2 linked regions of the Rattus norvegicus genome follow. The main gene of each other region encodes a partner of the protein of the gene in region 2 in a complex. Links are inferred from orthologs where the notes say so. Each region holds a gene or a part of one and is shown on either strand. Other genes may lie near its edges. The genes, in order: Eme2 and Mus81.

Evidence for each region.
Region 1: the proteins of Mus81 (region 2) and Eme2 are in contact, whole or in part, in a crystal structure (PDB 7F6L), measured with the Homo sapiens proteins. The link is inferred for Rattus norvegicus from reciprocal best matches to the Homo sapiens genes MUS81 and EME2. Residues at the interface, in NP_079404.3 of Homo sapiens: His330, Glu351, Phe354, Lys357, Arg358, Arg363, Val365, Glu381, Leu385, Gln386, Thr389, Asn390, Gln392, Val393, Ile394, Phe398, Lys400, Arg401, Tyr411, Leu414, Leu415, Arg417, Gly418, Leu419, Arg421, Leu422, Pro447, Ile464, Lys467, Ala468; in NP_001244299.1 of Homo sapiens: Glu140, Arg177, His179, Glu220, Glu221, Val224, Leu225, Gln227, Leu228, Trp229, Asn231, Leu232, Asp233, Leu235, Arg245, His246, Ala249, Val250, Lys252, Ala253, Leu254, Gln256, Tyr257, Lys260, Gln261, Glu264, Gln266, Phe268, Phe270, Cys271.

Annotation. Positions count from the first base shown.
Region 1 is NC_086028.1:14,417,397-14,421,779, forward strand, and holds Eme2 (probable crossover junction endonuclease EME2), read right to left. Parts: upstream 3,094-4,383; 5' UTR 3,077-3,093; coding exon 2,842-3,076; intron 2,728-2,841; coding exon 2,591-2,727; intron 2,242-2,590; coding exon 2,149-2,241; intron 1,526-2,148; coding exon 1,434-1,525; coding exon of another isoform or gene 1,283-1,433; coding exon 1,189-1,282; intron 1,039-1,188; coding exon 923-1,038; intron 828-922; coding exon 638-827; intron 611-637; coding exon of another isoform or gene 566-610; coding exon 395-565; 3' UTR 339-394; downstream 1-338. Other genes in the region: Mrps34 (28S ribosomal protein S34, mitochondrial), read left to right, coding at 3,194-3,514, 3,663-3,705, 3,789-4,081. UniProt on the Homo sapiens protein: Non-catalytic subunit of the structure-specific, heterodimeric DNA endonuclease MUS81-EME2 which is involved in the maintenance of genome stability. In the complex, EME2 is required for DNA cleavage, participating in DNA recognition and bending.
Region 2 is NC_086019.1:212,221,981-212,226,368, forward strand, and holds the start of Mus81 (crossover junction endonuclease MUS81), read right to left. Parts: upstream 3,089-4,388; 5' UTR 2,957-3,088; coding exon 2,822-2,956; intron 2,727-2,821; coding exon 2,597-2,726; intron 1,970-2,596; coding exon 1,887-1,969; intron 1,532-1,886; coding exon 1,430-1,531; intron 1,297-1,429; coding exon 1,228-1,296; intron 1,094-1,227; coding exon 1,008-1,093; intron 593-1,007; coding exon 455-592; intron 361-454; coding exon of another isoform or gene 325-360; coding exon 229-324; intron 132-228; coding exon 10-131; intron 1-9. UniProt on the Homo sapiens protein: Catalytic subunit of two functionally distinct, structure-specific, heterodimeric DNA endonucleases MUS81-EME1 and MUS81-EME2 that are involved in the maintenance of genome stability.

The sequences.
Region 1 (4,383 bases), on a different chromosome or scaffold from region 2:
CAGCAGCTTTGAGAGGGCCTGGCTTGGATCTCTATGAGTACTTCTCCCTGAGGGTGTATCCTAAGCTTCCAGACAGCATGGGGCTGTAATAGTACAATTAGGCACTCACACCTGCTACTAAGCTTCCTGCAACAAGTGTCCAGGCCAAAAGCAAGTTGAAATCCCAGTCACCTCTAGGGCCCTTGTGGCCAGGCCACTACCCTGCACTCTTATGTTCACCTCAGCTTCCCTCCTCCTCCCCCACCTCCCATGGTGCTTCCGTTTGACCATTGGGCAACAGAGTCTACCCCGGGCTGGACCCAAACCTCCTTGCCTGCCCCTTAGAGTAATTAGTCAGATTCTTGGGCAGGCCTGTCTTGTTGTATTGATGGGCAGGAGGCGACCCAAGGTGCGGTCAAGAGCTCAGGTCCAGCAGGATGTCAGGGTTGGTGGTGGTCAAGAAGATACAGATTCTTCGAGAGAGGTCAGGCCCCACTCTGCGAGGCTGCTTGCCCCCAGGGGCCTTCACAGGGAGGTCAGCTAGGAGGCTCAGGCGCTCCTGCTCTGTGCTGCAGTCCAGTAGAGCCTAGAGTGGGCACAGGTGTGAGTAGGTACACCTTAAGTCCTGGTCCTGGAAGGAGAAATTTAGGGGACTCACCTGTTGCAAAAGGCGGGGTGAGGGGAAGGCAGTAACAACAGCATCAGCCACAGCTGGGCTGACCCGGTTGAACTGTCTGATTTGTCGCCACCACACTCCTCTGAGCCCAGAGCCATCTCTGGTCACTTGCTGGCCTGAGGCCCAGTGCCCTGCTGTACAGAAAGAAAAGGCCTGGGAGTCCCGGAACCGCCTGAAATGGAGACACCCAGACAGGCTTTGAGAACACTATCTGTGCAGCCCTCCAACCCTGCCCTGTCTACACTCAGTGCCTGCAGGGGTACATACTTAGAGGGGAGCTGGGCGAGGGCCTTGGTGAAGGCACACACATACTGACTCAGCTCTCGCCACGAGGCTACCAGCAGCACATCCAAGTTTGCATGGAGCTGAAGCAGTACCAGAGCCTGGGGAGTGTGAGAGTGGGCATGGATCTTGTCCTCTGGGGAATACCAATCCAATGACGCTGGGAATTAAGCCCAGTTCTGACAGGCCAGACCGCAGCCCAAGTGCAGAGACAAAGGCCGGGCATCTAACAACTGAGCAACAGTTCTCACCTCCTCCACCTCTGACCAGCTGATGGCTACCCTGGCCTGGGCTTCCTCTGACTTCTTTGGTGGCCACGTCTTCTGAGAACTGGGCTTGCAAGAACTGAACAGAGGCAACCATCTTTTGGGCTCCCAAGTCTTCCCACATCGGCACAGCCCACCCAAGCCAAGTGGGATCAGGTGACAGGGCGGCTGGGGCAATCCACTTCCCTGGAATCCCACCCCACCCGCCCCTCTGAGGCTGAAGGTGATACCACAGGTACGCATCCAGTCCGATGACCGCCAGATGGGAGCGGGTGGGACTCTCGGGAGAAAGCCAGGGGACGGAGCAAGGTGGGTCTGTCATCTGCAAACCAGAATATCCCCACACTTGTTCACAGGAGGGCTTTGGCAGCAGACCTGTAGCCACCAGTATGGCCAGTTTCCAGAGGGAAACGTATAGGTCCTCTGTTTTCTGGAACTCAGTTCTGTTTCCTTAAGGCCCAGGAGTACACAGGCACTCCAGGTTTTAGTGTAGAAGGGAGCCAGCCCTCTTCTGGTCCATTTCTACACCCAGCCTGGACATTGGGCAGCGCCCAGCAAGTGTCTGACAAATGTTGGCCCTAGGACATCAACACCTACAAAGCCTTTAGCAGATATCAGCTAGGCACTGCTTCCTTTGAGTCTAGGGAAGTCAGCAGACAAGTGAGGGATTCTTAGCTGTTGTAGACAGACACCACAGCCTGGACCTACAGCACATGGACAGAACCAGCTAGGATTCTGGGCTCCTCCCCCACCACACCCCCGGCCAGTTTGCAGTCCAGGTCACTATTCGCAATTCTCCCAAAGGTCCCTCAATGTTCTTATGGCTAGAGCACTCGGCAGGTTTCTTCCTCTTACCCTCAGCACCTTCACCATCCTCAACAGAAGCTCCAGCTCATCCCAGACTGGGGAGCGAGACCTACCAAAGACAGACCTTTCCCCGAATACCTGGGTCAGCTGCACAGCACCCTGAAGAAATTCCTGGGGTTCCAGCAGCAGCAACTGTTCCTGCTCATTTTCAGCCTTCCCCTCCTGAGGCACCTGTAGGGGATCAGCGGCCCTGCTAGCCACCTGTGTGGGGTGCAGGGCTTCTCCCGCCTCTGGCAAGTCAGTCATCAGACACTATCAATAGCCCTCCAGGCTCCACACACAGTGACGTTCAGGCCAGCTTAGGACTATTCCCCAGAAGTCCCAGAATACCAAAGTAGCCCAATCCCCATCCTCATTGCCAAGAGGAGGTTCTCTGGCAGCAGCTCGACTTGGGCATCCTCCAGTTTTTAGGTTACTCTTATGCGAGGCGAGAAAGATGAATGCAGCTACCTCCCTAGCCAGAGGAAAAATGAAACATGGATTAGGACTGGCACTGGGCTGGTCATAGGGAGACACTCACATTGCTGAGGGCCGGGTCGGGCCTCACAACGCTCCACTGTAGGCTGCGGGCCTGGTGCTGCGGCTCAATGCGGCATTCACAGCCTAGTGTACCCAGCGCCTCCATCAGGATGTCGGAGCCTGCATCTTCCAGCACAGCTGGACCCAGTAGGCGATAATGCGGTTATTCCACCATCTCCAGTGAGGACTAGCGGGTGACGACGCTACCCCGTCGTGTGGCTGGCCCCAGATTCCCTGCCCCGGTCCCCTCACCTGGGTCCACGCACACCACCAGACGCTCCAGGACCTGATCTGCCCGTAAAGCCTTGGCCGCAGCTCTTCGCTCTCCTACTGAACTCCGGGCTGGCGTGCCGACTTCTCTAGCAGGGGCACCTTCGGCGTCTGAGTCGGAAATCTCCCAGGTCTGAGGTCGCCGATGGCCGAGGCGCGGGCCCCGGCCCCGACCGCGATGGGAGCCCGGGACTCTCTCAGGTCCCACCTCCGCCATAAACCCATCCTTCCTACAGCTTCCGGACGTACCCGGATGCTTTTGTTCAGGACACTGGCCGCTTCCGGAATGGGGAGCTGGTGAAGCGCAGGTTTCCTGTGGAGTAAGGACACCGGCATGGCGCGGAAGAAAGTGAAACCCCGGCTGATCGCTGAGCTGGCCCGCCGCGTGCGCGCCTTGCGCGAGCAGCGGAACCAGCCGCGAGACTCGCAGCTCTACGCCCTAGACTACGAGACGCTGACCCGGCCGCACTCTGGTCGCCGGCTGCCAGTGCGCGCCTGGGCCGACGTACGTCGCGAGAGCCGCCTTCTACAGCTGCTCGCCCGCCTCCCCTTGTTTGGCCTGGGTCGTCTGGTTACCCGCAAGTCCTGGCTGTGGCAGCACGACGAGCCATGCTACTGGCGCCTCACGCGTGTGAGGCCTGACTACACGGCGCAGGTGCGCTCGTTCCCTGCTTACACTTTCATCTTGCTCACCCTGGACTGGTTCTACCCACCCGGGAACCACCTGGGGGTGTTTGTCTCCCTTGCCCACGTAACCTAGTGGCATGGGCTCTGTGTTGACAATCCTTCCTCTTGTTCTGCAGAACTTGGACCACGGGAGGGCCTGGGGTATCCTGACTTTCAAAGGTAAGGCTGGGTGCTGGATGGAGCCGGTGATGGTTCGCATATTATCCGGCCAGCAGGTAGTCAGCATGTCTTCTTTCCTTCAGGGAAGAGTGAGGAAACGGCTCGGGAAATCGAGCAAGTCATGTACCACGATTGGCGGTTGGTACCCAAGCACGAGGAGGAGGCTTTCACTGCGTTCACTGGGAAAGCAGAGGACAGATTGAACCTTGTCCCCTACCCACCTCTGCTGCGGGCCATGATCCTCGCTGAGCGACAGAAAAACGGGGATACCAGCGTCGAGGAGCCGCTCCTGAACCTGGAGAGGACTCGAATGCGCCCCTGGGACTACCCTGCAAAACAGGAGACTAAAGGGAGAGCCAAGGGCACCCCAGTCTAACTGCCAGGATTGGCAGAGAGGTCCTGTGAGTCATTTGATGGACAAGTGTCTTTGACTGTGTCAGAATCTCCCCTTTGGTGGGGAGACCCTAAAGCCTTGACACATCTGCCAATGAATAATGGGGCAGATGACAGATTGTGATTTTCAGGCGGCCCCTCGCCGATTCCTCCGTCTGGAAATAAACTCCCGAAATGGCCTGTGCTGTGGTTTCATTATGTGTGTACCGTTGGAAAAGGGAGGGAAGGTGGCAGTGTGGAGCAGAGCGCCTGGTGCTATGGTACACGCAGGCAGGCCTTGGGCGG
Region 2 (4,388 bases):
GCCCTTTACCTGGGTCTCTGGGCCTGGTCTCCTGTGCCACCCACACAAAGTCCCCAACATGCAGTTTGCGAACTGTATGGGGCACACGCAGTCTTTGTAACTCTCGGAGCATTTCTGGCCTGTGTCCTGCCCTGATTTCAAGAAAGAAGGCCAAAGTCAGGGTGAACCAGCACTTAACCACATTCCAGCATTCTCAAGTCATTCTCAAGGTTTCCCCTACTCCCTTACCCTCTGGTTTCGCCAATGTCCACACACAACAGCACTCTGTACTCGCTAGGCCTTAGCTCCAGTGGTCTCTGTTGGACGCCCACCTCAGTAGTGCCACTACAATGGAGTGGAGGCTGTGCATAAGGCCAGAACCTTCAGTGCCAGAGTAGTTCCCATGACTCATGGGGCATTGGGCTCAGTTATAAGTCTCTGAGATAAAGGTATGGTTGCCCCATTTCTCTCTTACGGTTCTGACAAGATGGCTTCTGGAACTGGTGACTCTTCATGATGCTCCTCTGGCTGAAAGGCAGTGTTCAGAGTGCTCAGGCCTTCTGCCTCAGCCAGCTTCTGGGCCAGCTCCAGGCCCTCTGGTGTCAGTGCATACCTAGGAGGTGAGGGACACATGAAGTTTTTAATCTTCTTTATCCCTGACATGCTCTCCTTCCCTCAACTAGGTGAGCCTTACCCTCTTTGGTATAAGTTCAATGGCTCCCCATCTCCTCTGTCTCCTTGTCCCTCAGGTCAGCTTCTTCAGGACCTCCCTTAATGGTGTCTCAGCTTTGCAATGCGTGTCTCCCAACTCCTTCCCCTGTCTTCACTCATCATACTGTCCTCCCTCCCCTCAGAGGCTCATACTCCCCAGGTCTTCCAGTATCAGGCTTTTTAGCAGGTAGGCTGGCCTTCCCCAGCCTCAGCAGCACCAGGTCTAAGACTTGTTGGGTCATTAGAGAGGCTAAGAATGCCCTAACTCCTGCATGTGTCCCATCCCTGCCTCATGTGCTCCCCGTTCCTTGCCCAACCTGGCTGGCCGATGAGTTCTGAGGACTAGGTTCCTGTGGAGGAGCCCTCGGAGGGCAGGCCAGGGTCTTGAACTTTCAGGCACTACCTGTGAAAGGGAAGGAGACCCTCAGAGAGGCCCCTGACCATACGCCACATTTGGATCAGGTTTACCCCAAGGGTGTCTGCCATGAAGGGAAAACTGCAGTGGGCTCTACCCGCCCACTCTCGGCGGATGCTCACCCTGGGGGTCTTCTGGGCACATTTCTGCAGCAGCTCCTCTTTGGTTAGAAAGCTGTGGCCATCAGAATTCTGAAACAGTGGTAGAGATGAGGTAGGTTCAGGTCCAGGGCTCCTCACCCTGACATGGAGTGGCCAGTACACACTACCCAGGCACTTCTGTGACCATCCTGCTGCATCCCACCCATGAGCCTGACTGGCTTACCAGGTGCTCCCTGTAGAGCTGCAGCAGGATCTCTCGAGCACCTGAGTTCTGAGCTGGCCAATAGCCAGCATTGGTGCTTCCTGCTTGAGGCTGGGTGGGAACCTGAGAGTCACAGGGGAGGGAGATGAAGCTATAAACGCTTGCAAATCTGGAATGTGATGGTGGGAGAGCAGCAGCAAAAGTTGGAGGTATGTGCCAGGCCCAGTCCCCAGCTACAACTATGGAAGAATAACATGGTAGATGTCCCACAGCTTTCTGGGCTAGATCTTTTAGCAGCTCCCTTTGGAACTCTGTATACAGTAGTGTCAATAATCCTACTTAGGAATTAAGATCGAGCCTCTCACAGAGGGTAGAAGACTGGCCTGCGCCAATCTCAGTCAAACCAAGAAGTCTTACTCTCAACGCCCCTGCCCCCATTCCCACCTCCCTTTAGCTTTCTTCCTTTCCCAATCCTCACTGGCATGGAAGAGCCCTGGACCTGGGCAGGTGGCCCTTTGCTGGCTCTCTTCTTTCCAGATGGTGAGCTGGGGGCATGGTCACCTGTAGAGATCAGAAGAAAGTCAGTCCTGCACACCATTCGGCTCCCAGGAGGAGCCTAGATGTAGTCTGCTCACTTTGTGAATTTGAGTGTCGTATTTTAAAACTTTTTTGTGTTTTATTGTATGTATGTGAGTGTTTCACCTGTGTATGTCTGTGTATCACTTGCATGCAATACTAGAAGAGGCCAGAAGTGGGGGCTGGATCCCCCGCAACTGGGGTTTTGGTTTGGAGACAGGGTCTCACTGAGTGAAGCCCTGGCTGGCCTCTAACTCGCCAAGATTTTCCTGCCTCTGCTTCCTTTGAGTGTTGAGATTAAAAGCATGAATCACTATGCCCAACCCATGTCATTTTTTGGAGATAGCCTCAGATAGCCCAGGCTAGCTTTGAAGTCACTATGAAATTGAGAATGCTTCTGACTCTTCTACCTTCATGGTCTTGTTTCACAACTCCACCCACCCACCCTGTCTCAGTGAGCTAGCTTTGTTCGTGAGAACTAGGAGGTTTACAGAGCATCAATCACTAGCCCTGGGTGGAACAGCAACCACATTGTGAGGGGGATATTTGAAGTTAAAGTGGACACAGCCAGCACCTAAGAAGTTTAGATCACCAACTCCCAGAGGTGCTCACCGCCTGATGCTAGGTGCTCCTTCAGCCTTTCGTCCAGCATGCGACAGAGCCTGTCTCCGAAGTGCTGGAGTATCTTGGCTTCTTTCCCGTTGCGCAATGGTAGCGGGTACCGCTGGAGGGAGCGCAGTGCCTGGCGAGCACAAGGGAGAAGGGAACTCATCAAACTAGGATTCATGATCACCTGGCTCTGCCAGAGCCTGTCACTAGAAAACAGCTGGGACTCACCTTTTGAAACACAAAGCGCGTGTGGCGCCCTCTGCTGGCTGCCTCGTCCCGCCACTCGGTTAGCCAACGAACGAAGAGCGGGTTGGGGCAAACAGGCAGCGGACGCTTCCGGCCCAAGCGGACCGGCTCCGCCATAAGATCTACACTGGTTCTTTCGGAGTCTCAAAAAACCCTGAGACTGGGATCTCGACGGTTCAATTGGTATAAGGACACTTGTTTGAGGGTAGGACCTCTCCAGCCTAGTAGGGCACTAGATCAAGGATTGCCCTCCCTTCCCCATGTACTATGCAGCAAGAGGCTTGTAAGTTCGGCATGCATCTCCTTGCTCTTAGGACCGCCCCCATTCGCCGCCAGCACCAGCCTTTTGGACAGGCCCCACCCAGGCCACCGAGCTTTGACCCACCCTTTCCTCTCACCCAAAAATTCGAGAGCAGAGTCGTTTTTTAGGCTGACTGTTAAAAGAGCGGACAGCGCCCCTTGTGACTGGGAGGGCTGGCTGGCGGCGGGGAGTGGGGTGGGGGTGGGGGTGGGGGTACGCTCAGAAACCTGAACTTGCCTGCTTGCTTCAAGGTCTCAAGGCTATTTCAGGCTCACTATCGTAGAAGAGGCTAGAAAAAGGCTTGAGAAAAGTGGGGGGAGAAGGACGGACACAAGCCCAAGAACATTTGTGAGAGAGACATCTATGATGGGGTGCAAGGGATGAAATAAAGGTAAGGCAGGAGTGGCAGTAAGATCTCGAAATGTGCGAAGTCGGGGATGGGCACAGAAGTCTCAGGCTAGGTGAATGACGAGGATGTGTATCGCAAGGGCAAGGAGAAATAAAAGGTGTGTCCTGGCAGGTGGGGAGTTCGAACATGGGCTCAAGGCTGGATTCCGGGAAAGCTGGTAGACACTTTGCTTTTGTGGCTCATTAAAGGTGAAGGAGCCTCAGGGAGGATAAAGATGGGAACCTTGCTGAGGGAAGGATGACTCAGACTGAGGGACACAAGGCTCAATAGAGCACAGTGGTCCCTTTAGGGTTTGGAACAACGCACGGTCTTCAGCTGTCATGCCGGAAGTCGCTGGGCGCCCAATTCGCAGACCCTCGTCTCAATCTAGCTTTCCGCACCCGCCTCCTCCCTCAAGCAGCCTTATAAGGAGCCTGCAGCTGGCGCTTGGGCTGGGCACGCCCTCTGGAGGCTCATGCCCTAATAAGGACATCTAGGGCATCCCGCGGCCGGGGGCGGAAGAAGCGCGTCTCCAGGGTAACTGCGTAGCCCCTCCCCCCGTTGCTCTGGGAAACTGCGAGTCTCGTTTAAGGCGGAGCTCGTCTTCTCTTTAGCCTCGGCACTTGGGATAGGAGGGGGTCAAGCTTTGGCCTCCACTTGGAGCTCCTGCAGCTTAGACCCTTCGTGCAGCAGAAAGCCCCTGACTACAACCCCCGGCATCCTCTGCGTGTTGCCTTGCTCCTGGGGTAGCTCCTCATTTACACCCTTTATTCCGCTTGGGGAAGTCAAGGCCCCTATTTCGTCTGCCTCTGACTTGTTTGTGACCTTGCCCTCTTTTTCTGCAGAGTGTGACTCCATGG